Rhinolophus ferrumequinum: one gene and its partners. The protein of the gene in region 4 interacts with the protein of the main gene of each other region in a pairwise test. Links are inferred from orthologs where the notes say so. Each region holds a gene or a part of one and is shown on either strand. Other genes may lie near its edges.

What was found. The genes of interacting proteins can lie anywhere in the genome.
Region 1: the proteins of REL (region 4) and SEC14-like protein 4 interact in binary tests that used the Homo sapiens proteins (3 or more experiments, as listed by UniProt). The two-hybrid records come from large-scale screens. The link is inferred for Rhinolophus ferrumequinum from reciprocal best matches to the Homo sapiens genes REL and SEC14L4.
Region 2: the proteins of REL (region 4) and EIF5A2 interact in binary tests that used the Homo sapiens proteins (3 or more experiments, as listed by UniProt). The two-hybrid records come from large-scale screens. The link is inferred for Rhinolophus ferrumequinum from reciprocal best matches to the Homo sapiens genes REL and EIF5A2.
Region 3: the proteins of REL (region 4) and C11H11orf68 interact in binary tests that used the Homo sapiens proteins (3 or more experiments, as listed by UniProt). The two-hybrid records come from large-scale screens. The link is inferred for Rhinolophus ferrumequinum from reciprocal best matches to the Homo sapiens genes REL and C11orf68.

What each region holds. Positions count from the first base shown.
Region 1 is NC_046308.1:19,658,085-19,665,764, reverse strand, and holds the start of SEC14-like protein 4, read left to right. Parts: upstream 1-4,674; 5' UTR 4,675-4,735; coding exon 4,736-4,789; intron 4,790-7,433; coding exon 7,434-7,509; intron 7,510-7,680. UniProt on the Homo sapiens protein: Probable hydrophobic ligand-binding protein; may play a role in the transport of hydrophobic ligands like tocopherol, squalene and phospholipids.
Region 2 is NC_046285.1:71,554,436-71,562,294, forward strand, and holds the start of EIF5A2 (eukaryotic translation initiation factor 5A-2), read left to right. Parts: upstream 1-4,853; 5' UTR 4,854-4,999; intron 5,000-5,680; 5' UTR 5,681-5,715; coding exon 5,716-5,880; intron 5,881-6,430; coding exon 6,431-6,535; intron 6,536-7,859. UniProt on the Homo sapiens protein: Translation factor that promotes translation elongation and termination, particularly upon ribosome stalling at specific amino acid sequence contexts.
Region 3 is NC_046294.1:5,915,863-5,923,205, forward strand, and holds C11H11orf68 (UPF0696 protein C11orf68 homolog), read left to right. Parts: upstream 1-4,624; 5' UTR 4,625-4,656; coding exon 4,657-4,769; intron 4,770-5,454; coding exon 5,455-6,214; 3' UTR 6,215-6,837; downstream 6,838-7,343. Other genes in the region: DRAP1 (dr1-associated corepressor), read right to left, coding at 2,248-2,353, 2,708-2,796, 3,010-3,103, 3,223-3,342, 3,640-3,733, 3,844-3,916, 4,155-4,196.
Region 4 is NC_046296.1:28,081,306-28,088,719, reverse strand, and holds the start of REL (proto-oncogene c-Rel), read left to right. Parts: upstream 1-4,402; 5' UTR 4,403-4,725; coding exon 4,726-4,735; intron 4,736-7,414. UniProt on the Homo sapiens protein: Proto-oncogene that may play a role in differentiation and lymphopoiesis.

The DNA of each region.
Region 1 (7,680 bases), on a different chromosome or scaffold from region 4:
TGGGGGATCAGAGATGGTAAAGATGCACTAACTAGGCAGTGCAGAAGGAGAAGGTGAGGGAATGGTGTTTAAGTCACAGGGAATAGCATGTGCAAAGGCCCTGTGGTAGGAGGGAGCAACAAGGGGAGATAGATCTCTCCACAAACCCCCCACCTGATGTTCTGTGGCACGGGAAGGTCAGGGACCTCCTGGCTTTCATAGAGGAAGAAAGAGAAATTCAGCTGTGGCCCCAGACCTCAAACCCCCCTTTTCCCGTGGTCCTAGCTAGGTCTGTGGGGTCATGGGTCAGTCTCCCCTTGTCCACTCCTCTCTCCCAGGCCCTTGTGACCATCTCTCTTCCTAGAGAGCAGAATATAGGGGGGATGTGGCCACACCAGGTCCTTCCTTTCCCTGGGGTCACCCTGAGTTAATGGAGGGAGCCAAGGAAACCCTCCAAAAGCTGCCCTGGAGCCTAATCTCTACCACCTAGGCAGGCCTAAGCATGAGGCCACCCTGCCCTTGGCATCTGTGTCAAGCAGACACTTCCTCCCAACCTCTCCAAATCCTATGTATTTGGAGGAGCATCCAGTGGCATCTGTCCATCCTAGACGTCTGCGGGATGGGACTGATTTAGCCATAATGTACGGACAGTGTGGGCAGGGGCTCCTGCAAAGCTTAACTGCACCCCAATAATGGAGATGCCATTCACCCCACAGAGTTTCCTTTAGCTGGCAGCTTATAGGCTTGAATTAGGACTGCAAGCCGGACACCTCTGGCCATGGAGCGATGCCAGGAGTTTTGGGGGCACCTGAAAGATGGGAGGGAGAGACACTGCAGTGAGTGGGCAAGAGGTGTGAACTTAGTGTTATGTACCATGGCAACACATCACTGCAGTCCAGCTTCTCAGCTCACACGCCAGGGGGCACCAAAAGAATGCGCCACTTTTTGGATTGCAGGAGGAGCCAGGCACACCATGGAAGAGAGGAGTCGTCTGCCAAACCCCTGGCACCCAGGTGGTTAGAACGAAAGTCCCCCACACACAGCAATAACTGAAGTGTGAGCAAGCGGCAGTGTACTGCAGGCTCAGGGGAGGACATCTGCTCTGTGTTGGACCAACAGGGACCTCAGGAACCACGTGACCTGGAACACGGAGCTGGGCAGGCAGAAAGACATGACATAGTGAGCAGCTGGCCGTGCACCACCCTGCCTGGATTCCAGTCCTGGCTTTGTGCTTGCTGACTGTGAGACCTCAGGAGGCTCCTTAACTTCAGATTCCTGGTCCAAAAACAGGGATAATAATTGTGCCTCCCTCAGAATGTGTCCAAAACATTAAATGAGCTAACACTGCACTGACTGATATGGCAAACATTGACCACCTGTATTAGTTTGCTAGGACTGCTTAATAAGATACCCCAGACTGAGTGGCTCCAACTACAGAATGTTATTCCCTCATTGTTCGGGAGGCTAACAGTCCAAGACCAAGGTGTCAGCAGGCATTGCCCTTTCTAAGGGCGATGAGGAAAAATTTGTTCCGCGCCTCCCCCCTAGGTTCTGATGATTTGCTGGCAATCTTTGGTGTTCCTGGGCTTGTAGAAGCATCACCTCAAACTCTGCCTTCATCTTCACATAACATTCTCCCTGTGCGTGTGTGTTTCCAAATTTCCCCCTTTAATAAGGACACCAGTCATATTGGATTAGAGGCCCAGCTTATTCCACTTTGACCTTATCTTAACTAATTACTTCTGCAAAGACCCTGTTTCCAAGTAAGGCCACATTCTTAAGTGCTGGGGTTTAGGACTTCAACATCTGAATGTGGGGCAGGGACACAATTCAACCCATAACACCACATGTGGCTATTTGAGCATTTGAAATGTGGCTAGTTGGAATTGAAATGTGCTAGTATGCTACACGCACACTGGATTTCAAAGAGCTGATACAAAAATAAAAAGAATGCAAGATATCTCACTATGAATTCTTAATTTATCTCATTTATTGGTCACATTGATCACATTTTGAAATGATATTTTGGGTACATTATATTAAATAAAACATATTATTCAAATTAAAAATTTTTATGTGTCTGCTGGAGAATTTCAAGTTACCTGTGTGGCTCCCACTACCTAGCTGTTGGACAGCACTGAGCTAATATTTACAAAATCCTTAGACCAGGGCCTGGCCCATAGAAAATACCTTTAAGTGCTGGTTAAATAAAGTTACCTTGTGACGTGTGGCATTTTAAAAATATCACTTTTCCTACTCCACTGGAGAAAGTTGGGGACAAACTTCTTTTCTCGTGTGGCCCTTCTTTTATTGACTGGATTTTGTTTTACATTTCAGAAGCATACGGCATATGTAATGTTGTCCTATCTTTTCCAAATTGTTCCCTTCGATTTTTTTCCATGTGTTTTATAAACTCTTTATCAACCACATTAAGCATCGTGGTTTCCTGAAAAAATATTTCCAATTTTCCTGTTAATAATGCACAAACAACATTAAGCTGAAAATATTTTCTGTTAGTTAGGATGATTGGGCAAAGTGGTAAACTACTGAAGGATCCTAATGCATATTGTCAAATAGTTTTCTAGAAAAACTGAACCAATTTCTAGTCCTGCCAGCAATGTATGAATGTCTCCATTTCACCAACTTCTGGCTAACTAACTCTATTGTTTTTTTAAAGGCTTTGTGTATGTTTGTTTTGTTGCTATAATAATTTGGTGGAGGAAAAAAGTATCTTATTATTTATATACACATTTCTTTGATGATCTGGAAGTTGAGCATTTATCCGCTTCATTGCATTCCTCTTCTGGTAATTGGTGTTTTGAGTCTTTTGTCCATTTCTTAGTGTCTTACTATTTTTCTTATCAATTTGCACACGTTCTTTAAAAGATATCCGGTTTTGTATATTTTATTTTTCCCAACTTCACGTCAGCAATGACTGACTTAATGCCTTACAACTGATTGTCCCTTTGTGATTTCTGTCATTGCTTTTAGGTACAGATCATGCCCTTCCAGAGATGTGGTGTCACTTTTACTTTCTTTTAGCTTTTTGTATTTTCTCTCTCTCTCTCTCTCTCTCTCTCTCTCTCTCTCTCTCTCTCTCTCTCTCTCTCTCGCTCAGATTTAAAGTCTAGGACAGCACTGTCCAAATGAAATATAATGCAAGCTGCAAATTTGAGTCACACCCATAATTTAAACTTTCCTGGTATCTACATTTTTAAAAATTAAAAGATTAGAGCACAGAAAATTTTTAGGGTAGTGGCACTATTCTGTATGATACATCAAGATACCACAATGGTGAACACATGTCATTATGCAGTTGTACAAACCCATAGAATGTACAACACCAGGACTGAACCTACCGTAAACTATGGGCTTTGGGTGACAATGACGTAGTTCTTGAGTTCTAACAAATGTAGCCCTCTGCTGTGTGTGGTCCACAGTGGGGCAGGCTGTGTGTGGGGGTGGGGGGTATATGAGAGCTCTCTATGCTTTCTGCTCAATTTTGCTGTGAATCTAAAACTGCCCCAAAAATAAAGTTTATTAATTTGAGAAATTCTAATTTATAAAAAAGTAAAAGAAACAGGTGAAATTCATTTTAACAATATATCTTATTGACCCAATATACCCCGAAACATTATCATTTCAACATGTCATTAATATAAGATATGAATGAATGGAATCTATTTAATTTTTGGGGTATTAGGCCTTTGAAATTTGGTGCGGATTTTACACTCACAGCACTTCTCCATTTTCCCTAGTGACAAGCCAATTCCCAAAGCTCAATAGCAACATGTGGCTTGTGGCCACCAGGCTGGTCAGCGCTGGCTTAGAACTTCGTTTGAGCCCAAGGGAGGGCAGAGGGGAAAGGTTCTGGTGGCCTGATTTACCTCCCTGTTTACCTTTACCTCCCATTTGCTCCTCTCTCTGGAAAATTCCTGCCCTACCAATTTGAGTTTTCTCACCTTCCCCAGTGACCTTTGCCTGACTCTTGGATGCCATCCTGGACACCTGTGTCAGCCACCCAACACCCTTTGGCCTCCCAACCCCTCCATCACTCCACCCAGGGCTTCCCCACTGCCACCTCCCTCTCCCTGGCCTTTGGGCTGTGGCTCCTGCCCAGTAGCTCACAAGGGAGCCATTCCTGGGTCTCTACCCCTGTGGCTTGCTGCTCCAGTGACAGCCTCAAAAGCAATGATTATGAAACAATATTCCTACCAGCCAACACTTGCCGGGTATGCAATGCCAGGCAGAACCATGGCAGATTATCTTATCTAATCCTCCAGACCATCTTGAAGCCTGGAATCCTCTTGCACATAAGGGCTCTCCTATCAGTTAGTGAACACTAACAGGGTGCAGCCTGTGTTCAAAGTCAGGGGAGGAAGGTTGGGGGCCCCTTGGGAATAAAGTCCTGAGGACCACCTAGAAGGTGGAACCAAGTTTATAAAAAGTTCCTCCATTTTGCTGGAAGGGGATCTTGGTGTTCCCTGAAACTTGCCCTGGGATGCGGGGTGGGGGCGCCTGCTTCCCCCAACTGAAATCTGTGCTCTGGGAGGGAAAGTGGCACCTCCTTGCCCCAGGTAGGGTGCGTCTTGGCGACTGGCCTTGGCAAAAACCCCAGAGGGGAGGAGAGCCCGGCGGGACAGGGCGGGGTGAAGCTAGCCCTCTCCCATCGGGGCGGGACAAACATTTGACGTACCCGGCAAAACCAGGAGCCCATGAGCACCACGAGTGGCAAAGCCAGGCACCCACGGGCACCATGAGCGGCAGAGTCGGGGACCTGAGCTCCCAGCAGCAGGAGGCGCTGGCCAGGGTGAGGGGCTTCGTGGTGGGGAGGCTTGGGGAGGGGCCGAGCAGCCAGACGCTGCCCACCTGGGCTGGAGCCTCTATCTGACGACTGAGGAGGGACCCTGGAGACTGCCTGTGTGCAGTTGCTGTGGCAGCTGTGTATAGAAACCCGGCAGGAGTCCTTCTCTGGGCAAATCCAGCTTTTCACTCCTGCCCGCTCCAGGCCCTTGTTCTCTGGTTGTGGGGAGAGGTGGGTGGGTGACCTGGCGCTGCCATCCATCCGGCTTCTGAGAAGCTTTGGGCAGACAGACTCCCAGATCTCCTGCCGAGATTGCAACACATTTGTTTGGTTTCTCTTTGGGCCTGTTGTCAATGTTTTCGTTAAAGGGAGATGGAGAAGTTTTTGGTGATTTCAAGACAGTACTGAAGGCCACACCTAGAAGTGTCAGGGCCATGGGGAAGGGCGAGCGTAGCCAAGTCTTAGGTGCCATAGCGTTAATTCGGTTTGCAGATGGCCAGGACAGTAAATTGGGACTTCAGGGTGGGGGATGGGGGTGGGTCACAGCCCTGCCTCACACTTTGGACCTGTGAAAGGGCAGCTTCAGACTTCTGGACAATGAGTTCTTTTTAGGCTCCTAACCTGGGGAAAACCTAAGGGTGCTCCAGGGAGGAATGAGAACCCCTGGTGAAGAGGGGTGGGGGGACCTGAGTGAATTCCTGGTGAACGAGAGAAGGGTCTCAGATGAATGATGGGGTCCCTGGTGAATTCCCAGGTAAAAGAGAAGGTTCCAGAAGCAGAGGGTCCCCCGATGAGGAGGCGTCCTCAGGTGAAGGACAGAAGGTCCCCTGGTGAACCCTCCCCTCCCCACTGGCAGTGGCCTCAGAGATGCCCCAGATACTAGGCTCCTAGGAGGGACTGGACACCTGGCCTTTGGGGGTGAATTATGATGGAGGTGCCTGTGGGCCAAAGAGCTTTAAACAATGTAAAAAGAGTTTATTCTTCTTTTTACCATTATTTAAAAGAAATGAATGCTATTTTTAAAATTAGGGAAAAAGAGAAAAGTAGGAAGGGGGAAAGGCCACTGACAGTCCCAGAGGTCTAGTCCTGGGAGCATTTCCTTCCCGCTTTTTCCTAAGTCTTGACCTCCTGTGGTCACACTGCCAGATGCTCCTTTCTCCACATGGCCTCATCCTAAGATGAGTTTTTCCTCCACGTTGCTCCAGGCCCTTCCCAGCACCTGCTTAGTGGCTTTCTCTTAGCTGATTGACATGTGCTCCAAGGGTGGAGTGGCCTCGAGATTGGAAGACGTGGACTCCTCCTGGCCTTGGAACTTCCTCACTCTGTTCCTGGGGAAGACCCCCCACCCCTTCGACCCCTCCTCCCCAGCCTCAATTCCTTCATCTGCAAAGCAGGGATATGACCTCTGCCCCTCCTGCTTCAGGTTCAAAGGAGGGAATCTGGTCCTCTGGAGGGGCTGAGTGGTGCAGTTATTGTTTCTCAGGTAGTGTCCGTCCCCTCCCCCTTGCCCCCCCAGAAAAAACTCTTCCTCAGGAGCACAGAGGTTACAGCTGGTCAATGTGAAAGAAGCTCCATTCCAGGTGTCTGTCCCAACTGGGGATTGTTACAGCAGTTGTCGTTGCTCGTGTTGTTAACACGGCAGATGTTTAAGTTGATTATTTATTTTTAATTGTGTGAGCAATACGTGAATACATTCTTATTTTAAACATCATTATGGTGCTAAAGCTTGTTTGATGGGTGGCTATCAAGACAGCTCCCATGGCTCCGCTGGCACCTGTTTCTAATTCCAAATTCTCAGTCACAGATTTCCCCAGCACACCCAGTCCCCCAGGCCTCACCGTTCGTTCCCTTCATCCTTACGGGAGTGGGGTCTCCTCTCTATGTCAAACCTGAGCCTCGGTTCCAAACCCAAATTCCTAGCGGCTTCCCCAAACTCTGCCAGTAGCAAAAGTTACCCCCAGCAGATCAGCCGCCCTCCTTCCCCCAGCTCCAACAGGGCCCCGATGAGGCAGCCCTGACCTCTCTTTCAGTCCCTACCTGCTGACCTTTGCTTTTGTTTCCACAAAGATTCCACTGTCCAGGACTCTGGGCAGTCCACTTTTGCTGAGTGCCCACATTTATGTGGCACCTGCTGCAAGCCAGGCCTGACGCTAAGTGCTTTACCTGCCCAAGTTCTTTTGATTGGCACAAGTTTATCATTATTCCCACTTCGCAGATGAGGAAACTGAGGTTCAGAGAGGTTAAGTAACTTGCTTCCAAATCCAGGCCCTCAAGATGCAGTATCAGGGGCAATATTCCCCAAATGCTCTGGTTGGCCTGCATGAAATTCGCCAGAGATCTGGGCAAAAATAGGGATGGCAGGGCCCCACCTCAGACCTATAGAATGATGGTCTTGGGGGGGCAGAGATCCTCCAAAGTTTGAGAAGGACTCAACTCTTCCTACCATGGTGGGCTGGGGGGGGAGGGGGTGGCCCATTCCCAGGTGGCAAAATGGCCCAGGCGGCTGCTGCTAACTGTGCCGTCCTCACCTGCAGGGTCCCTGGGCAGGGCTGACTGGCTGACTGAGGGTGGGACGAGCCGGGGATGGAATTGGAGGCCGGGGGATCGTGGGAGCCCTCTGACAATCATCTTCCCCACCCCCACCCCCCAGTTCCGGGGTAACCTCCAGGACCTGCTGCCGACCATGCCCAAAGCTGATGACTACTTCCTCCTGCGCTGGCTGCGAGGTAAGGCTGGCAGGTTCAGAGGTTTCTCAAGAGAAGGTGTGGAAGATTTGGGGAGACAGTGCCACAGAACGGTAAAGAACGCAAGCTCTGGAATGAGCCCATTTTGTGTTAGAATCTAAACTCCCCTTCAAATCGGCGTGGCACAAAATCTCCGCTGAGCCTCAATTTCTT
Region 2 (7,859 bases), on a different chromosome or scaffold from region 4:
GTTTTGGTGTATAGGTCTTTCACCTTGATTACATTTATTCCTACGTATTTTATTCTTTTTGATGCAATTGTAAATAAGACTGTTTTCTTAGTTTTTCTTTCTGATTCATCATTGTTAATGTATAGAAACAAAACTGTTTTTGTATATTGATATATCTTGCAACTTCACTAAATTCATTGATGAAGTCTAACAGATTTTTTGGTGGAGTCTTTAGGGTTTCTATATGTAATGTAATGCCATCTGCAAATAGAGACGATTTTACTTCTTCTTTTCCAATTTGGGTGCTGTTATTTCTTTTTCTTGCCTAATTTCTCTGGTTAGTACCTCCAAGACTATATTGAATAAAAGCAGTCAGAGTAGGCATCCTTATCTTATTACTGATCTTAAAGGAAAAACTTGCAGCTTTCCACTATTGAGTATGAAGTTAACTGTGGGCTTGTCATATAGGGCCTTTATTATATTGAGGCCCTCTATACACAGTTTGTTGAGAGGGTTTTTTTTTTTTTATCATGGATGTATGTTGAACTTTGTCAAATGCTTTTTCTGCATCTATTGAGATGATCATATAATTTTTATCATTCATTGTTAAAGTGGTGTATCACAGTAATTGATTTGCAGATATTGAACCATCCTTGCATTTCCTGGAATAAATTCCACTCCATGACAGTATACGATCCTTTTCATGTACTATTGAATTGGTTTGCTAATATTTTGTTGAAAATTTTTGCATCTATGTTCATCAGAGATACTGACCTGTAATTTTCTTTTTTTTTTGTAGTGTCCTTGTTTGATATATAGCATCAGGGTAATGCTATCCTCATAATATAAGTTTAGAAATGATCTTTCCTCTTCAATTTTGGGGGAAAGTTTGAGAAGAACTGGTATTAATTATTTAAATGTTTGGTACAATTCACTAGTGAAGCCAAATTTTCTTTGTTGGGAGGTTTTGAGTACTGATTCAGTCAGCTTAGTAGTAATAGGTCTGTTTAGATTTTTCTATTCATGATTCAGTCTTGGTAAGTTGTATATTTCTATCAATTTATCCATTTCTTCAGGTTGTCCAGTTGGTTGGCATATAATTGTTCATGGAGTCTCTTCTGATCCTTTGCATTTTTGTGGTATCATTTAGGTCTATCAATATTTGCTTTATATATTTAGGTGCTCCTATATTAGGTACATAAATATTTATAATGTTATATCCATTTGTTGGATTGACCCCTATATCATTATATGACTTTCTTTGTCTTTTATTACAGTCTTTGTATAAAAGTATATTTTGGCTGATAATGTATAGCTATCCTAGCTTTCTTTTGGTTTCCATTTGCATGGATTGTCTTTTTTCATCCTGTTACTTTCAGTCTGTGTGTGTCCTTAAAGCTGAAGAGAGTCTCTTGCTTTTGCTTTAACCATCGTCTATATACTGGTGATTCACAAATATCTTTCTCTATTTAAGATATCTCTCTCCCACAAGAATCTTAAACTCGATTTGGCCAAAAGTGAACTCAACTTGCCATGGAAACTTGCTTTTTCTCTTATATTTTCTATCTCAATGAATGGTACCACCATTCCCCCAGTCGTTAATTTGATGCTTTCCTATTCTTCTCACCCAGTGTCTCCCTTCTCATTTCGACTTCCAACATTACTTAGGACATTCTTTCCACCTTCCCTTGTAATTCTCTTGAATCTGTCTTCTCTATGTTCTCACAGTCACCACCTTTGTTCACCAACATTAACTATTTCTTCCTAATTGGTTTCCTATTTCCAATATTCTCTCCCCCTAAAAAATTCTCCATATCATGATCAGAATGGTCTTTCTAAATTAAAAAAATACATCCTTGTCATTTTCTTCTATATACGGTTTATATATCTTTCTATTGCCCTTGAGAGAAAATCCAGATTCACCCATCTCTTTTTACTACTTTATCAGTCACATTAAACCAGTGGAGGTCCAGAATGATGTCACAATTCTGTCACTTATAGGTTTTTTGTACCCCTAATCCCTCTACCTAAAATGCCTTTTCCAAACCTCTGTTCATTGCTTACTACTCCTTATTTTTCAGATGTCAAATTAAGATATCACTCCCAGAGAGGCAGTCTCAAGATCTTCTAGACCTGTGATGCCCTATATGATAGCCACCAGTCACACAGTCACTGAACCCTTAAAATGTGGCTAGTCTGAATTGAGATGTACTCTACACCAGGCTTTGAAGACTTAGTATAAAATAATCTTATTAATAATTTTTATACTGGTACATGCGAAATATTATTTTAGATGTACTCAGTTAAATTTCAAACTATATTATTGAAATTAATTTCATCTCTTTTTACATTTTAATGTGGCTACAAGAAAACTCAATTTATATGTGGCTTGCATCATACTTCAATTGAACAAAACCTAGACTAGATGAGAAGGAGCCCCCTTTTTCAACATCCTACAGTTACTTCTTTAGTAGCATGTATTATAGCTGCTAAAATGCTAGCTTGTATCCTGCACTAGACTTCAAGTACATAAAAAACAAGAGGATGTCGTGGTCAACATGATAATTTCAGCACTAAGGGTGCTACAATAAAAACAGTCAATTCTCCTTATTTGTGGATCCCATATTTATGAATTTCCCTACTTGATAAATTTACGTATAACCCCAAAATCAATACATGAGATGCTTTCACAATCATTTGTGGACATGCACAGAACAGTGGAAGATTTGAGTCATTCAACACATATTTTCCTGACTAAGGTCAAACAAGGCCATGCTCTGCCTTCTATTTTCAACTGTCAAATGGTAAACGAGTTTTTTTTTCAGTCTACCTGTGCCACTTTTTCACATTTTTTTGACTTTTGTTGGTGACTTGACTGTTTAAAATGACCCTGAGCATAGTGCTGAAGTGCTGTCTAGTGTTTTTAAGAATGAGAAGGCTGTGATGTGCCTTACAGAGAAAATACATGTGTTAGATAAGCCTCCTTTGGACATGAATTGTAGAGCTGTTGGCTGTGAGTTAAATGTTAATGAATCAATATAGATTAAATAAACACATATAATACAAGATAATATATTGGTCAGTTGATGAAAATGTTGTGACCAGAAGCTTACAGGAACCTAACTTTGCATTTCTCCTAGAAGTAACGATTTTGTGTTCCGGTGACTTCACTAGCCTCAGCTGTATTTATTTAATGAATGAAGCTGGATCATTTTGATTCCAAATCCAAATCTTATGTGAATTCACTATGATGCATATGATGGTAGTTAAAGCAGTGATTATGGAGCCAAACTGGCTAGAGTTCAATGTTGGCCTTCTGACTTGCTAGCTGTGTGATTTGGAGCAAATTACTTAACTTTTCTCTGCCCTTTTCCATAACTGAAAATGTAAATAAAATAGTTGTTAATGATTGCCATGGGCTGCACGTGAGGGAGGGGACTGACCAGAAGAGGGCAGGAGAAAACTTTTAGAATGAGGAAATATTCTATATCTTGATTATAGTGGTATTTACACAAATGTTTATGTTCTTCAATATTCATATAACTAAAACCGGTAACTTTTACTTTGCATAAATAACTTAATAAACTTGAGGTTGAAAGAGAGTAACAGCCAAGAGTAAATAATGCACGTAAAACAATTAACTACCCGCTTACATAAATACTCTTTAAATATTAGCAAACACTCTTAATAACAACAGACAGGAAAGGTTAGGTAATGTAAGGAAAAGCAGAGTGGGCTCACGAACTGGATTCTAATCCGGCTATTTCTATTAGCTAGAGGCTGAGTTGTTTATGGGAGTTCCCCTGTTTATTGCAAAGGTTAAGTTACACAGCATGTGTGAAATATCTGTGTAACTGTAGAGCCACATAGGAATGTGAAAAATAGGACTGTTCATGAGACAGCAATACGAAATCACAGGGCCACATAAACTGGGGTGTGGAAGTCACCTCTCCAAGGTAGGAAAATGTGGTGGGTTGTGAAATGAAACCATGAAAAAGGGCTCACATCTTTTTTTAAAAAACTTTGGTCCTTAATCCTATACAAGTCTCTACTGGCTACAGATAACCCAACCATTCTAAGGAGGATGGACATATCTGTAACTCGATAGAATGCCAACGCCAGGAGGAAAGAGCTGAGTTTGGCAGAACACCTTCCTGAATTGGACAATGTGGTACCAGTTAGACATCCACTTGCCTCCACAACTCCCTAACAGCTTCCGGAGGGAGAAGTGAGTTAGGTCATTTCACCACTGCTTTTTAGTTCAGTTCAAGAATGTCTCACGAGTTCCCACCCATGGGAGTGGGCAGGGCACCCAGGGGCAGTCGCTGCCATGAGTCATAATGGGTGGCTGGGGTTCTCTGCAGAGCATGCAGTGTGCATCTGGAAAATAAAATACCGCACTTGGACTCTTCCTGGAGGAACAAGCTGGGTTTGACTACCAAAGAGGGCTGCAAGATGGACCAGAAGTTGGAACCCAAAGTTTCCTCCACAGCCACACTGGCATCCATTGAGATCTCTTGCCTCTCGAGTTTTGACAACCTACAAGTAACAACTGGCACGCACCTGAGGGCAGGGGCCACCATGCGCGCGGCCCAATTCCCATAAACTTCCACTGAAACTTGAACACAACGAACCTAAAAGTTTGCAGCAGGAAGTTTCTTTGCAAGCGAGTTTACCCTCAGCAACCCGCCTCCAGAAAATGCACTTCACGCGCCGGAAGTGCACTAATCCGCAGCACGTGGGGTAGCCAGGACGCTCTTCACGTGACTAGGCGGGGCCTCAGGAAGCTTGTAGCCAATGGTAGCCTGGAAGGGTGGTGCCTGTGACGCGCCGGACCTATCCCGGAAATGGGACTGAGGTGGGGGCGGGAAAGGGCGGGGAGGCCGGGGTGTGGAAAGTGTGGCGGCCCCGCCCTGTCTCTTGGAACTACCGCGGCCGCCACCGCTGCCGCTGCCGCCGCCGCCGCTGTAGGGGACCGGCGCGGGTGCGCAGGCGAAAGCAGCTCTTTCTTTGCTGAAAGGTAAAGACATGGGGGAAAAGTGGTGGGGTTGGGACCGGAGCGAGGCAGGGCCGGGAAAGGCGACGGGAGTCCCAACGAGGGAAAGAGGAAGGCTGGATGGGAGAACGGAGGCGAGCGCGGCACTCGCCAGGGCTCAGGCCCGTGCGGGGCCGAGCCGGGCCGAGGATGCCTGCAGGACAAGGGGGCGCCTGAGAGGCCGGGGATAGCACGCCGCAGCCGGGGACCGGAGTGCGCGCCAGATGCGCGAGGGCCAGGTGCTGCTGGCCTGGTCATGTTATCCCCATCCTTCGCGCGGACGTGCGGCCTGGGCTGGGTCCCCCGCAGTGGGGATCAGGGCGGCGGCGGAGGGCCGGGCGGTGCGGCGCTGTGCGGAAAGGTCGCCGGCTCCGCCTGCGGTGGGACGATGGGGGCCGGGATTTGCTGCTCCCAGCCTGGTGAGCCCCCTGGGCGGGTATCCTCCACCCCCCAGCTCGCTCTCTGCGACTTCCTTCCCCACCTTCCCATCAATGGATGGAAAAGTTTGTAGAGGCCAAGAGTTAGAAAGCGCCCACTGTTCTTGGGTGGGTCTTCTATAGATGCAAAAATAATAGATCCACGATGCTTGGCACGTAACCTGTCCGAAATGAGATTTTTCGTTACCTGATTGCCCATTGTTAAAAAGCAAACAAACTTTTTGCGTAGTTCCCTCCGAAAAGCTACCATCTCCCCAGCCCACCATGGCGGATGAAATTGATTTCACTACTGGAGATGCTGGGGCTTCCAGCACTTACCCTATGCAGTGCTCGGCCCTGCGCAAAAACGGCTTCGTGGTGCTCAAAGGACGACCATGCAAAATAGTGGAGATGTCAACTTCCAAAACTGGAAAACACGGTCATGCCAAGGTAAGTGCCCTTCCAGGTCTGTCTTTACGTTGAGATTTTGATCATTTGTATTACATTACAGAACATGAGATTTCTGTACTTAGAACTTTGTAATAAGCACTTTTTTTTTCTTCCCACTATTACTGGGTGTTCAACTATCGTTTTGAATACTGAAAGGTAGCATTTCCTTCTTGAGCTCTTATAATGTTTCATTAATTGGGAACTGAAACTTTCCTGAATCCCAGTGAGTCAGAAGATCTGTTCAGTTTACAGATGAGAAACCCTGTTCTAACATAATTCCAAGGAACCTAAGTTCATTTTTCTTGTGCACTCTTATAATTGAATTACTGCACTATATAGGATTTGAGTCTTGATATGTCATGATACCATTTAGTTGTTCACTGCTTCTCAATTTTATGACCGCGACATTTTTTTAAGAAAGTAAAATTAGATGACCTTGAAAGGAGAAATAATCTGCTATAATCAGCGTTGGTATTGTGCTCCTGTGTATGTAATGAGTGATATACTTGGCAAAGATTAAACAGGTTTCCTGTTCTCCCTTCTTTGTTAGGTTCACCTTGTTGGAATTGATATTTTCACCGGCAAAAAATATGAAGATATTTGTCCTTCTACTCACAACATGGATGTTCCAAATATTAAGCGAAATGATTATCAAGTAAGTACTAATTTCCTTTAGAATGCTTGTTTCTTAAAGGTGTGAATACATTCTACTATCAATTGTAATTTAACAAAAGGCCGTAGTAGTTTTGTAGGCTTTTCTAACGAATTATCAGTAACCACTTAGAAATTGGAGGAATAGTTATATTTAACTCTTGTACCTTATTTAGGATTATTCTAGTTTGCTATTTTTTAAAACATTCTTGCATTTTAAAAAAGTTGAACACTTCTTATTGTTTCACAAACCAAGTAACTGTATGTTGTGACTGAACAAGTTTAGCGCTAATAAGATTACTACCGTCTTTGTTGTAAAATATTTCAATTTTAGATAACTCCTTCTCAGATGTTTTATGTCTTTTCATTTGTCAGACCTAAGATTTTCAAGAAATTAAGAAATTATTGGAATTCATGTTCCACCAACCAAGTTTGTGTACTAATGAATATGAGTCAGATTTTGGTATTCTTAAATAGGGAAATAAGTTAAAAGCCTTAAATATAAAGGATAAAATACATGGTCACTGAATATGGTGAAGAAAATACAAAAACTGTGTAATTGTTTTATTTATATTCAGTGACCATGCTGTGACCTTTTGTTAAATTATAGGTATAAACTTCAAGTTTTAGTTCCAATTATACATTTGGGTAGGTCATGTTTAATGATAGCATTTTGTTGTTTGGAGTATTGATAGTAACCAAACCATTGACCTCATAGGATGTGGGAGCTCAGATTAATCATAATTAAAGTCTTCTTTTGAAAGTCTTCAATTTCTATATCTAGCATACCATGTATGGTATTCCTTTCTGTTCTTTTTACATAGTGAAAAATGTGAGTGTGACAGATTTGTTTTATCCAGTTAAATTGATTTCCTTTTATACCTTTTATTGTACTGTATAATTTTTAAAGAATGTTACCGTCAACTGTAATTACCCAATGATTTCCTTTTACTCTTTGTCCACTTGTAAACATATTTTTACATGGTTTTAATCTAATAAGCAGTTTTATATTTTCACTTTCCCATTTATCATAAATATTTTCTAGGTTGCATCGGAGTCTTTGTAGAAATTTGAATTTTCTTAGTATAATAATAGTGTTTTTTTAGTCAAACAGGTCTGGGTTTGGATCCAGTTCTACTATTTTCTAGCTGAATGTTCTTAGATAAATTACACAACCTCTCTGAGCCTCACTCTTTCCATCTCCAAAAGAGAGATAATGTGAGGAGTAAATGAGAAAATGTACCCCACAATCACCTCCTGAGTAGATGTGTATCAAAAAGCAGTTATTTTCTGCGCCCCCTTTCCTGTATAAAAATTCCACTTAATCA
Region 3 (7,343 bases), on a different chromosome or scaffold from region 4:
CTCCCTCCCCCATTCCTCACAGCCGCTTGGTGTCCTCAGCTCCGTGGGCCCAGGTGCCCACCTTTCCCTGGGACTGAGCCCAACCATTCCCGCTCCCGGGCCGGTGGGAACCACCTCCCATTCATGGTCCCTGCCAGCCAGAGCTCTTTCAGTTCCAAGGGACACAACCCAGGTGACTTCAAGAGGGGAAATGTTTATTGGCTCACGTAACTAAGAAGCCTAAGGCATGAAGGCTTCAGGCAAGACTGGGTTCAGGTGTTCAGATGTCATCAGACGACTGTGCCTCTGCGCCAACTGGTTCTACTGTGCTGGCTTTGTTCTCAGTCAGAATTGCCCCTCAGGGTTGGAAGCAGCTTCCAGCAGCACCCGGCTGACATTCCGCCAGCTTTGCTACACTAGCATGGCCGCCATCACCCTCACCTGGACTCCTCAGAGGGTTCCCTGCTGCTCTCCCAGCCACGGGGAAGCCAGCGATCATGTCAAAACCCCTTCCCACTGGTCCCATCTAAAGTCCCAGTGGTCATGACCGGCCTGTACCACTCACTGGGGCCAGAGCGAGTGTGGTGGGTGATGTGATTGGCCAGGCTGGTGATGTTCCCATCCCTCCACCCCAGGAAGTGGGGTCTGCTGCACACACTGCAGGTGGAGTACAGAAAAGGTGATTCCCCAAAAGAAGGCAGAGGTACTATATCCAGAGGGGGAGCACACGAGAGGCAGACAGGACCCACATGCCCCAGCTCCAGCTGCCCTGGGCCCTTCCACACCTGCCAGCAGCCTCCTAATTCACAGAAGTCAGATATCTTGGGTGAAAATTGAATTCTGCAGTCCTCCCACCTAAACCTCCTCACCGCCCTCTCCCTCACCAGGTTGGGTTTGCCTTGGGCACCCCCCACCTCACTCCATTCTCTCCCCTCCTATCCCACATCCCCTCCCTCACTACAAGCTTGCATCTGCCCTCTTAAAACACAAAAACAGAAACTCCCTGCTCCTCACTGAGCTACTGCTCCCTCTCCACTTCACAGCTCTGAGCGGTGTTGCTTCAGCTCACCTCAGTTTCTCACCTCCAGCTCTCCCTGCCTCATCAACAACCAGCAAGCCTCTGAGGCAGCTGTGCGGAAGGCTTCCCTAAAGCCTGCAATGTGTCCTGGTGTGTGACAACTGGCCTGTCCCTTCTCCCAGAGCCCCCTGGGTGGGCACATCCAGTGGCTCCTGGGGGTTCTGGGTCTGGCTGCTCTTCAGTCTCCTCTGATGGGCTGCCCCTCTCTCCCGAGGTGAAGTCACCTACTCTCAAAGTTCACACATCTGTCTCTAGGCCCGTGTCCAAGTGTCCACTCCACACCTCTCCTCAGCGTCCTCACAGGCACCCCAAATTCATCACAGTCAAACTTGTCATCTTCAGGCCTACTCCCGCTCTACCTCATGTCCCCCAGCTGGAAAAGGCCCCTGCCCGAGCTGCTGCAGAAAGAAACCTGAGAGCCCTTGAGGGTTCCCTCCCTCTCTGCCCTGTCCAGTCAACCATCAGCACTCAAGTTGACCCACTGCTTTCCATGCCTCCTGCCCAGCCTCAAGCCACTGCTCCCTGAAGCACACGTCTGCCTCCGTGGACACTGCAGCTTCAGGGTCCGCTCAGAAATGGCCATGGACTGACGAACTGTGTCACTGCCCCGATCACAAGCTGGCCTTCGAGACTCTCCACAACCATCCCACCTACCTCTGCTCCTGCTGCCCCTTCCTCTACCCTTCATGGCACCAGGCTCAGAGCTCTCCAGTTCCTATTACTCGTCCTGTCTGTCCCTTAGTTGCAGCCCCCAGTGGACAAAAAGGTCTCCGTCAGAGGACAAGAGGCTGTTCAGAGAACAGTAGGAACCTGTCCAGGGTCACACAGCACAATGAGATAGGTTGTCCCCCAGCACAGCGGCACCTGCTGGCTCAGGTCCTACACCACTCTGTCCACCTTCCTTCTCTCAGCACCCCTGGTCCTGCGCTGGCACACCCGTGGCCTCCAGCCCCTCCTTTCACTCAGCAGCTGCCCGGCCCACCCCTGCTCCTGCCCCAGCTCAGTGTGAGGAATTCAGGTGGAATGGTGGGAAGGCCGCCACAAAGCCCTAGACAGAGGCTGGGACAGACACTGATGTTCCCTTTTGTTATTATTTTTTTAATAAATTTAAGAACAGCTCTACCTTCTCTCCTCCCCCCAGAACAACTAAAACCAACTAAAAGGGGGTGTGGCCTGGGGGGCAGAGGGCGCTAGGAGTCATAATCTTCTTCATCCTCTGCGTCAGGTGCGGAGGGAACCGGAGGTGCTGGGGGCAGAGGCAGAGTCGAGGTGAAGGGCATGAAAGGTGTTGGGGGGCTGCAGGGCAGAAAGCAGGAGGGGCAATCAGGTCACTCTCCGGGCCCATTCCGACCCCCTGAGCCCCACTCCGCCCTCCACACAGACAGCATGGAGCCCCCCACCCTCTGTACCAAATGGGAGCCAAGCCCAGAGAAGGGAAGGGCCCGAGCAGGTCACAAAGGCCCTGCCCAGGCCCCATCCACTGTGGGGAAGGGACTTTCTGAGAGTACAGTCTCCTGTCTTTAAGCCCTCCTCAGTTCTTCCCTTCCCATCCCCCAAATCTGCCACAAACAACAGAAGCAAGTGACCAGGAAGGACAAGTCAGCCTTGGGGAGTCTGCTGGCCCCCTCCTGGAGCCACTGAGCTGCTTACCTCTGAAAGTGGGAAGGGGGGTGGCTGGCCTGGGGTGGAGCCTGCGCTGTCTCCTCTTCCCCATCAGTGTCACTGTCTTCAGACTCATCCTGGGAGCAAGGCAGGGGTCAGGGGTGACAAGAAAGGCATGGGACCATCACTGAAACCCCAGACCTCTCGGAGTGGCAGGGACAGGATGCTGACCTCCATCACCCCAATTTGAAAACAAAGAAATCAGGGTACAGTGAAGTCACAGGTGAGGGTGGGCCCAGGCCTCCAGCCGGCTCGAAGAGGCAGGACAGAGGGCTGGGGGCTTCACTCACCTCCTGCTCAGAGTCCGTCCCTGACAGCTTCTTGTCCTTGCCTTTGTTTCCCATCCCACCATTCTTCCGGCTGCTGCTGCCTGGCTTCCGGCCCCTTTGGGAAGGTATAATCCATCTGCTCAGAGGTGTCCCTGCTCCTTCGCCACCCCCCAACCCCCTCCATCCCTGGTGGCCTTGGCCTTCCAGCCTGGACACTCGGCCCTAACTCCCCACCTGCGGGCACCCTTGTCCCCGTCCATGTGGTTGTCTTCCCCATCCCCCTGCATGTCAGGCACAGATGCCACCAGGTCCTTTAAGAAGTCAAACTGCTGCTCCAGCTCGATGCACTGCTTCCTGAAAGAGGTGAGGCGGGGATGGCATCTGGCAGGGCCCCAGATGTCTGCTCTCTCAGCAAGGGTCAGCAAGAAGCTCTGGATATTAGGAGAATGGAGTCTGGAAAACCTCTACCACCCGACTTCCTCCCTTTGCTGGAACACCCAGCCTTTCCTCTCCAAGTTCGAACCACCAGTCTCTAAGGCCTTGCTGGTCTCCCAGTAGCCTCCCACCTCCCCATCAGGACATAGGCTCTCTTAAGTGTGTGAACGCCTGGGACAGGGCCCCACTGGGCTCTTCCAGCTCGCAGCCACTCACAGGTGGGATGTGGTCATGGTCTTGGCGTTTCGGGACTGGGTCACCTGGCAGGCCTTCTTCAACAGCGACTCCAGGAAGAGCTCAAGCGCCCGGGCTCAGAGTCGTCAAGGAGAACGCGGGAGTGGGGTCCCAGCCCTCACAAGGCGACCCCCGGCTGCCTCCTTCCCCCACGTCCCTCAACCCGGCCAGCCCCCGACAGGATACAGATGATGACAGGCACAGCCGCCGCCACCTTCCCAATCTCTTCGTCCGTCTGCATGATCTTCTTGATCCGCGCCTGGGGAGGAGGCAGAGAGGTCGGACCCCGTCGCCTCAGTCCCAGAATGGGGTACTGGGGAGAGCGAGAGGGGTATCCCGGGAGAAAGGGGGCGGGGGGCAACAACGCAAGGAGGGCACAGAAGGGGGCGGGGCGTCCGGGTCCCGGGGCACGGCGATGCGCCCGCCCCCCAGGCAGGCCTGGGCCCGAGCCTCCCGGGAGCTGGGCCCTCTCCTGCCGGGCCCAGCCACATGCTCACCGGCGGGAACCGCGCGTTGTACTTCTTTTTCTTGCTCGGCATCTCCGGGACTCTCTCGCCGCGCCGGGCCCAGCGCCGCCGCCTGCAGCCTCCCGGCCCCGGGGCCTGCTCGCCACCCGCCCGTCGAGGTTCCCCCGGGTCCTGGTGCCGCCCGCTCCGCCCCCGCCGCTCCCCACGGGGTCCTAGCGCCGCCGGTAGGCAGCCTCTCGCAGGGTCCGAGTGCCCGCCCCTCGGAACCTCCTGGGCTGTGCGCGTCGGTCCGGGACCCGACCGCCACTCCCGCCCGCCCCCAGGCCAGAAGAGCGAACGTTAGCCCCGCCCCGCCGCAGGCCCGCCCCTCCTGGGTTTCTTGATGGCCTCGCCCCTGGGGTCAGCCCCGCCCAAGTCCCGCCCCCTCAGTGGCCGGCCCCGCCCCGCGGCGCGGCTGCTCTGGCTCGGGGGCCCCGCCCCGTGCCGCGCTTGTCTATCTATAAAGTTGTTGTTGAGGCGGCGGGGCGCTAAGATGGCGGCGGCGGCGGCAGCCGTGGCGGGGGCGGGGCGCGGCGGCGCGGAGCCCCGGCAGGAGCGGAGCCAGGCGCGGGGCTGGGTCGGTGCCGAACGCAGCGAAGGCCGAAGGTGACGGCGGGGCGGCGGGAGGGGGCAGAGTCGGGCGGGAGCCAAGCTCTTGCGATGGGCGCTAATGGCGGCGGGCGCGGCGGGGCCAGAGGCTGGCCCTCCCGCTGGTTCTAACAAGCCGGGGTTCGAGTCCGGGCACCGCCCCATTGGCCTCGGACCCGTCACTGCCTTCTCTGGTCCTCAGTGTCCTTATTTTTTAAGTGGGCCAGATAACGCCCGCCTGGGAGGACTTGCCCTGCAGGGCCTGCCTCGGTGCTGAGCGAACGGGGGCTCCTGCGCTTCCCTGCATTAAATGCCAGCGCCCAGGATACCTGCCAGTCACTGGCAGGGCCAGGAGGTGTAGCTGGGTCAGTTGCACCCACACTTGAATTTACAATTAGGCCCTGTCGCTCACTATAGGTGTGACCTTGGGTGAGTCCCTTCTCTCTGAGCTTGTTTCTTGTCTGTAAGTCAGGAAGAGTAGAAATAACATGAGCAATAACACTCAGTCGTGCTTATTCCACCTCAGGCATTTAATTGTCAACAGCGCATTGAGCCAGGAACAGTTGTTATCATTGTTAAGATGAGGCAACTGAGGCACGAGGACTTTAAATCCTGACCAAGGCCACACAGTTTAGTCTAATGCTTGGCACCCGCTAGGGCCCAGCAAGCTGCAAATCTGTCACGAACTTTGTTTCCCTCACAGCAGGATGGAGTCAGGTGAGGAGCTGGAGGAGGAGGACTCTCCAGGTGGCCGTGAGGATGGCTTCACTGCTGAGCATCTGGCTGCAGAGGCCATGGCAGCTGACATGGACCCCTGGTTGGTGTTTGACGCCCGCACCACACCTGCCTCTGAGCTAGATGCCTGGTTGGCCAAGTACCCGCCATCCCAAGTTACTCGCTACGGGGACCCTAGCTCACCCAACTCTGAGCCCGTGGGCTGGATTGCAGCGTATGGGCAGGGCTACATCCCCAACTCGGGTGATGTGCAGGGCCTGCAGGCAGCCTGGGAAGCCCTGCAGACCAGCGGGCGGCCCGTCACGCCAGGTACCCTGCGCCAGCTGGCCATCACCCACCACGTGCTCTCGGGAAAGTGGCTGATGCACCTGGCACCTGGCTTCAAGCTGGACCATGCCTGGGCTGGCATTGCTCGGGCTGTGGTCGAGGGCCGGCTTCAGGTGGCCAAGGTGAGCCCACGGGCCAGGGAGGGTGGGCGCCAGGTCATCTGTGTTTATACAGACGACTTCACGGACCGCTTGGGTGTGCTGGAGGCAGATGCAGCCATCCGTGCAGCAGGCATTAAGTGCCTGCTCACCTACAAGCCTGATGTCTACACCTACCTGGGCATCTACCGGGCCAACCGCTGGCATCTCTGCCCCACTCTCTATGAGAGCCGTTTCCAGCTGGGGGGCAATGCTCGTGGCTCCCGTGTGCTGGACCGTGCCAACAATGTGGAACTGACCTAGTGGGGCCAAGTTGGGGAGACCACCCTCTGTACCCCCTGCTAGGGATGGATCCTCCCGTCTTTCTCCTCCTCCTCGTCCCAAGGAGGCCATGTCCCACAGCTCTAAGACTAGGTCACTCGGGAACTGCTTGCATCTTCGATCCCCTTGAACTTTTGCCCTCTGTTCAGGGCTGAGTCAAGTCCCCACCTGCTGGAGGTTCTGGCTCTCTTAGGACCGGACCCTCAGCCTCTCTCTTCGATGCTGCTCTGCTCTGCCATCCAGGACCATAGGCTGGGTACAGACACCCAGGAGAGAGCCTGCCTTGGCCACCCTTATCCCTGGCTGTACCTCCCCCTCCTCCTGCATTCTCCTCTTCCTCACAAAAGAGAAAACTTAGTGCTTCCAGTCCCTCTCCTTGGAGCCTTCACAGCCCGGGGGGCAGAGGCCCTGCAGGCCTGAGCATGCCTTTTTTTTGGGGGGAGGGTAGGGGGGGCCACTCAGCCCCTGGCAGAAAGAGGGGATGCCAGGGCCATGAACATGGTGTCTGCTCCTCCCTGCCACCTCACAGCCTGCACTACCTTCCCTTCACTATCTTGCCATGTGCCTGCTCCTGGCATTTCAATAAAACCCAGCTTGGGTCTGTGTGTTGAGTGTTTTTTAAAATACCATGTTGTTGGTTACCTGCTTTGGTTGCTGGAGAGAGGCAGGGCCAGGAGAGACTGCCTCTCCGCCCTGACTGGGCCCTCCTAACTGCCCCCAGTAATAAGATACACCTTACTGCCAAGGCTGGGAATCTCTCTTGAGAGCCTCTGCAAAGCCAGCACTGCTTCGCCTTCATCCCAAGAATCAGAATCATCTTCTCAGTGATTTCCCATAAATCCAGGGGTTTGGCCCAGCAAAGTCCAAGGGGCCACTACTAACCCACAGGGTGTATTTGTGCTTATAAGAGAAAGGTATCCTCTTGGTCCTGGCAGTTCCTATGTCAAAGCACATGCATGGTCTGGTGAGTGAGCAGATGGGCTGGATTTCAGCAACGTAGGGTGGACATCCTTGTGCAGCAAACAATCTGCACAACCATAAGTAACCGTGGAATCCCAGCTGGCTATACTCACCTCTCCACCATCCTGGCCATCACAGGGCCCACTGGACA
Region 4 (7,414 bases):
AACCCTCCCTACTCACCTGATCTGGCCCCCAATGACTTCTTTCTTTACCCAAAGATAAAGGAAATATTGAAAGGAAGACATTTTGATGATATTCAGGACATCAAGGGTAATGACGACAGCTCTGATGGCCATTCCAGAAAAAGAGTTCCAAGATTGCTTTTAAGGGTGCACTTAGGTGCTAGTGTGGGTGCAGAGCTTCCCAAGGGGAGTACTTCGAAGGTGACATAGTGATATTCAGCAATGAGGCATGTAGCACTTTTTCTAGGATGAGTTCGTGAACTTAATCACCCAACCTCATATGAAGTGAAGACGTGGAGTGCAGAAGATAAGGCTGAAGAAACAGGCAGAGGCCAGATTATGGAGGAACTTGTCAGCCACGTCCAAGAGTTTGGATCTAAGGCTAATGGATGGTTTTAAAGCACAAGAATGGTATAGTCATTCATACAGAGAACTCAATCAGCAAAGGGTTTAAATAGGTTTGAATGGCTTTCGAAGGGGACAAAAGTGTAGACAGGCATAATAAGAGACCATTCCCGTAGTTAAGGTGAAAGATGATGAAGATTTGAACAAGGACAGTGGCAATCAAGATGGAAAAGAAATGGATTCATATTTGATTATAAAATCAGTAGGACTTGGTGGCTGGATGTTGTGGGGTTGGTGGGAGTTGGTGAGAGAGAGAGTCAACGATGGCTCCCGATTTTCTAACCTGTATATCAGTGGATGGTGGCATAAGGAATATGGGAGTAAGAGTAAACTTGGAAAGAGATGTTGAGTAGGTTGAGTTTGGGATGCCTATGAGTCTCCCCTTGGAGGTGTTCAGCAGACAATTAGATATGTAGGTCTAAAGCCCAGGGAAAGATTCAGGCTGGATATATGGTCCTGGGACCATGGGTAAAATCATGAGAATGGATGAGATTATCCAACGAGTGTGTGTGGGTTGAGAGGTATTATGCATCTCTCCCTCATCCCATGTTTCCCCGAAAATAAGACCTAACCAGAAAATAAGCCCTAGCATGATTTTTCAGGATGACATCCGCTGAACATAAGCCCTAATGCATCTCTTGGAGCAAAAATTAATATAAGACTCGGTCTTATTTTCGGGGAAACACAGCATTCCCATTCAGACTTCAATTTTCCTAGTTCTTTGTCTTCTTTTTCATACTATTACGCATCGATAACCCTTGGGTTAAAAACCATATAAGAAATACTGTTTACTGGTCTGAATTACATTTATGACCACAAATTTCAAATGGACATTCAGTACAGCCAGATATACCTTATAAAATTCCACTCTCAAGACCACATTTTCAGCTTCTCCTCTTCCTCGAATCTCCTATTCCCTCGTTGCCTTTCACTCTCGGTTGAACTTGACCTCATACTTCACTATAAAAAAAAAAAAGGCAGTTTGACTACCTCATTTTCATACCATCAAGTACCATGTTCTCTGCATCTGCTCTGTCTTCCTTCTTGTTACCACAGAAGTGTCTCCATTCCAATCTACTGCCAACCCTATACCTGTGCTCTAGATTTCATCCTTTCTTCCTTACTCATCAACCCCTTCCTTTCTTTTATCATCCATTTCTCCTTCACTACTGAGTCAGTCTCACTGTTATACAAATATGCCTTAATATCACCCTCTACAAACAAAATAAACTTCAGTTCCAGAGCTTGCTAGTGCTGATAATCATTTTCTTCTCTTCTCCAGAGCACACAGCTAAATTACGTTTCTCAAATTATATTTCTCAGTCCCCTTGGGGAGGCCACATGGAAAGTAGACTGCAACCAGAAGTAACGTATTTCACTTTCAGGCCTGGCCCATAAAAATCTCTCATTCTCTCTTTCCTTTTCTAACGTGACTTTGAAGGCCACATTTTGGTGCTACAAGATTGAAGTCACCTCGGTCCCTGGGTTACTCCTGGAAGAGAAAGTCACTCAACTCACACTGGACTGTGACTCAAATGATAAACTTTAATTATGTTAACTGGTTGAGACTGTAGTTGTCAGTGATAGCCCTTAGCCTAAAATAACGCCACATCGCCTTCCAGCTAATGCCCCATTTCTATTTCCTTTAACACTCTTTGAAGAGTTGTCTATACTCATCGTTTCCATCATTCTCTTCTCAACTTCCTCCCATTCAGCCCTCATCCCCACCATTCCACTGACATGGCTCTTATCAAGGTCATTAACGACCTTCATCTTGCCAAAGCCAAGGTCATTTCTTTTTTTCCTTTTTTTAATTTTTATTGGGGAATATTGGGGAACTGTGTTTTTCTAGGACCCATCAGCTCCAAGTCATGCTGCTGTTTTCACTCTAGTTGTGGAGGGCACAGCTCACTGGCCCATGTGGGAACTGAACCAGTGACTTGAAGTTATGAGCACTGCGCTCTAACCCAGAGCCAACCTACCGCCCCAAGGTCATTTCTTTATTGTCATCTTTTTCATTCTCTCAGCATCATTTAACACAGCTGACTTCCATTCCTTTTGAACCTTCTGGGACACTAGTCTATTGGTTTTTCTACTTCACTGGCAGCTCTTTCTTTTCTACTAGTTCTCGACTTGGAGGGTCAAGGGCTCTTTTTAATTTTTTCTCTATCTGCACCATTTCTTTAGGTAGTACTATCGTAAATGAAATGCTACTGACTCCCCAATCTTTATTTCTAGCCCTGATTCCCCTTAGCTTGAGTTCTGCATATTCAACTGTCTACTTCAGGATGTCTAATAAGCATCTGTAATGTAAGGTATCCAAAACACAACTCCTGATTTTCCTTCTCAAATGTTTTTCTTCACCAGCCTTCCTTTTTACCTGGTTGCTCAGACCAAAAATGTGAGTTTCCCTGATTCCTTTTCTCCCCTCCCATCTACCAAGGCCATCTGGTTCTGTTACCAAAATATCTTACTAAATCTAACCTCGTTTCACCATCTCCTCCGCAAAAACACTAGTTGAAACCACTTTTACTTCTCAGACTACTGCAACAACCTCTTAACTGCTTTGCCTTCATTCACCCTTGCCCCTAGTTAGTGTATACTAACAGTTTAACACATCACTCAGAGTAAACATCTCAAAATGTAATGTCAATCACACACTTAAAACTCTTCATAGCTTTCTGTGTGCAACTGGAATAAAATCTATCCTCCTTACCAAGTGAGATTTCTTTTTTGTCTTTGCAATCTCTTCAGTGCATCACAGTATGGTTTAATGCTTATTCAATCCTTTCATTCTTTTCTACTTTTCTGCATTTTGTGGAAAGGATATTTTGGGGTTCGTAGGAAATTTTTGTGTTTTTTTCTTTCCTCTCCCCACTGTGTCCTCCAACTTCAGCACTTGTATAGCAGGCTCACGTTCCCCACTCTTCGTCATTTCATACTGCAAGGGGTAGTGGGAAGAGCGTGGAGCTTTGGAGTGAGACTCTGGGTTTAAACTGTGCTTTTCTTTTTACCAGTATTCTGAAGTATGAACTTAATTTCTCTGAAGTACTACTTCTCTGAACCACGATTACCTCATCTATAAAATGAGGGTACTATGTCATAAATGAGGTAAATCAACTGATACATACAAGGTTCTTAGCACATAAAGGAAACACAGTAATACTCGATTCCTTTAACATACTAAACAGTTCGTTCCTTCCCCCGCCTCATGGGTATTTCTATCAAATCCCACGATAGAGTCGACCCCACTAATCTTGAGCAGTGCATTAAATGAGACAACGAACTCGCAGTGCGGACCTTAGGAGTTTAAAAAGTTAGTAGGTAAAATCCGTAAAGTTAACTGAGTCCTCGCAATTTAGATGTAAAGAGGGAAAATCAGACTGCGGGGGTCCCCGTATGCAAATGCATGCATTACACACGAATACTGGCGACAGCCACTTCCGCACTTCCCCTCTAGGGCACTCCGCGACAGTAGCGCTGCATCGCCCGCCTGTGCGGAGGCGGAGATTTGCATGTGCGAAATAGGGAAGAGGGGGAACCACCCATCGAAAATCCCGGGCCTTAGTACCGCCCCGCCCCCCTGCTCCAGCCAGGGAGGGCTGGCCCCACTTCGCCGGCCGGCCCGCCCCAAGTACTCCCCGGCAGCCGGCCCTCTCGACGTCACCGCACCCTCCTACCCGCTTCTGAACTTTAAACCACGCGCCGAAGAACAGCCCGGAGGAGGGGGATTTCTAAGGAGCTGGCGGCTTTCGCACGCTCGGGGCCGTCACTTCTCGGCTCCCCGTGTTCCCTGCATACCCGAAGATCCCGCGCCCCAGCTCCCCCGACGGGGTCCCGAGCCCACTGCTGCACCCGGGGTGGTAGCGGGGGCGGGGTACGGGCGGGGCGGAGCGCGGGCCGTCGTGTGCGGTTGCGCGCTAGCCGCCCCGCCCCTCCGCCCTCCCGCCCCCAGAGAGGGCGGCGGTGAGGAGCCTACGTCAGCTGCGGGAAATCCCCCTCCCGCTAAGGCGCGGGTCTCTCTGGCCCTGAGGTGCTGGGCTCTCGCTGCGCTCCGCCCCCCTACCCTTGGCTCCAGCACCCTGGACGGGCGAGGCCGGGGACAGCAGGGGCGCGAGAATTAAGGGGGTGGGAAGGTGTGAGCCGCAAACCAAAGCAGGGCGGAAAGGAGGAGGAGGCCCCGACGGTGGTCAGTGGGACAGGGGGTCCCGCCGGCAGAGGACTGACTGGCGGGCTGACTGACAGCGGCGGCCTCCGGTCCAGAGGCTCGGAGTGGAGCGGAGCGGCGCGGTGAACGGAGTCATGGCTTCGGGTGAGTGTCCTGGGCGCCACCGGCGGTGCCCGAGCTGGGGGGAACCTGGGGCTCGTCCCGGGGCTTTGCCGCTCAGTTTTGATTGTGGCGCGTTCTCTCTAAAATTGCCCGGTCTGGCAAATTGTCAACCTTGTAACAAGTAAGGTGGTTCGGGGGTTTGCCTGCGAAATCAAAGTCACGCTCTGTAATTTGATGCCATTATAGTAGCCGGAACCTTAGAAATTCCCAACGACTCTGTTTTAGGACTAGGGAAGTAATGAGAATCTAAATGGAGGACTAGGAGTTCGCGTATTTAAAAATTGGTTTACATCGAAATGGTGGTTTTATGTTTTACAACAGGAATGAGGAACCTTCAGACCTCTGAAAAGCTCTGAGTTTTTTAGTTTAATTTCATCAAGTACCAAGAGGTGATCGCTGTTGTGCTGACAGTTGTACAAAACGTGTGGCTTTAAAAGTCACCGGTGGTGTTTTAACAGGTCTTAAGTGGAAATGTTGCTTCAACACGGTGGATAGATTTTACTGCACAGTGCGCACGTTCTAACTTACGGAGCAGAAGTCATGTTGCTTTGGTTTTGTTTTTTTCCTCCTTTGTTGGAAAGAAGGGGGAAAGAGGAATTTTAGAATACTTGTGCTTCAAAATATGGGTAGGGAGTAAAAGAATTTCCTATCACTTGTGTAAATGTTTATTTTCAGTTAATAAATGCGTGAATCTCTTGCTTTGAGGGGAAACGAATTTACCAAGAAAGAGTTCAGAGGAAAGGGGGTGAGTCTCATACCGGTCCGGAATATACAACTATGGTTTAGGTCAGCCTGTGACCGAAGGGAAGTAAGTGAAGAATCCTTTACAGGATTCTGGCCGGGTTCCGAGGGCGCTTTCCCGGCAGAGGGAGCAGCGTGAGCGGTCACGGAGGCTTACAAGTTACTCCTGAACGCTGTACTGACAAGTTGAAGAGGGGGGGCCTTGTTTATGCTTGACCCGCATCCTCCCAACTCCCTGGTACAGTGACCCTCAGCAGAAGGTTGATGTCTAGCAGAGAAGAGGAAGTAGAAAGCTTAGAGGACTTTTTAAAGGGGTTGAACAGAAAAATGTCATAGCTACTGCTGTAGGCTAAAAAGGAAATTGGGGTAGTTCACACGACATTTGATTTCAGTTTGTCTGTGGTTTTCATGTGAGCATACAAGTGGAGTTTAAAATATTTCAACTTTCTCTTAACCCACTTCAGTGACCCCCAAACTTTCAGATAATTCAAAGGCCGTTTAGATTAAAACTGCAAAGATGACTTAAAATATTTGATTAATTTATTGGTTATCAGAAAGAAATTTTGTATAAAAATAGTAAAGAATAGCGAGTATTATAAATAAAAGAAAAAGGTCAGCCTGCTGGCAATTTAAGCGAACTTTGTTAATACATGGCATGAATGTAATACTCCCAATTCTTTCAAAAGAGAGAAAAGAAGTAACCATGTTTACATAGGTATTGTAAGACCTACATCATTTAAAACTGTGATACAATTGAAAATTATTTAATGACACTATATTTTTGTGATGTTATGAGGACCCTCAATTGAACGGGGGGGGGGGAATAAGGAATGGAAAGTTGTAATCATAACATGTTATTTAAATTATAATTCAATTGTTTGAAAACTGCTAAGCAAATTTTTAAAAAGAAGTCGGGGTGTACTTTCCTTAATTAATTTTAAAGACCTTAGAGGAAGAGTGACTAAATTATCAATTCCTATCCTGTTTTGAAACAGTAATTTAACCAAAAGAATCACAGGGGAAAAAAGTGCTAAATTAGTTTATCATTATCTAGTTTAGATTCTGTTTGTAGTAAGGTAGTATTAAAACTCAAAAAGTATTTTTATTGATTACAAAGATTTTAAGACCATTTCTACATTTCTCCCCGGATGTCATATGTAAATATGTGTGTGTAGTTGAATATATGATCTGCATAACGTAAAAAGTAACATCATAATCTCATAAGCAAATTTATAAGAACCATGAGTAACTGGTACTTTGATACATATTTCTAAATTTTGTTCAGGTAAGCTGTCAGATTATTCAGGATTTCCCAGTTTAGGTTCTATTAAGCTGTCTTTATTGCTTTTTTAAAATTACACCTTGGTTTCAGTCTTTTGACATGATGAATTAAAATAGGCATTGTGAAGAAAAATGTACCCAGACCCATCTAGGGTATGCATAGCATAGTTAGGCAATCATTACTCTTGTACATTTTAAGTAAAATTAGCTCTTTTATATCAGAATTTAAAGCTTCTCATTGTTCCAGTAGAAAGTGTAAAATGTTCTTGTGTGCCCCTGGCTCTATTTACTAATAAATAGTACTGTCTTTGGTAAAATACGTTTTAACATTTAGATAATTTTTATTCCTAGTTTTCTTTAGTATAGTTCTGCTTTGTCACGGAGTAGGAAGTACACTAAGAAATTGTTTTTGTAAACCGCACACTACTTACCAACTCTTTGTCTGCTGTATGAATTTCAAGAGAACTGTTTCCCTTGAGTAAGGGGGGAAAATATGAATGTAAGTATGTTGCAACTTCAATCTTTAATGATAGAGCTGGAAGCTGGAATTGATAACTAAAGCAAATGACTTCTTTTTTTTTTAATGTAGAAGACTACACATGTAAACATAAAGGCTGTTTTGGAAATGCAGTACATGAA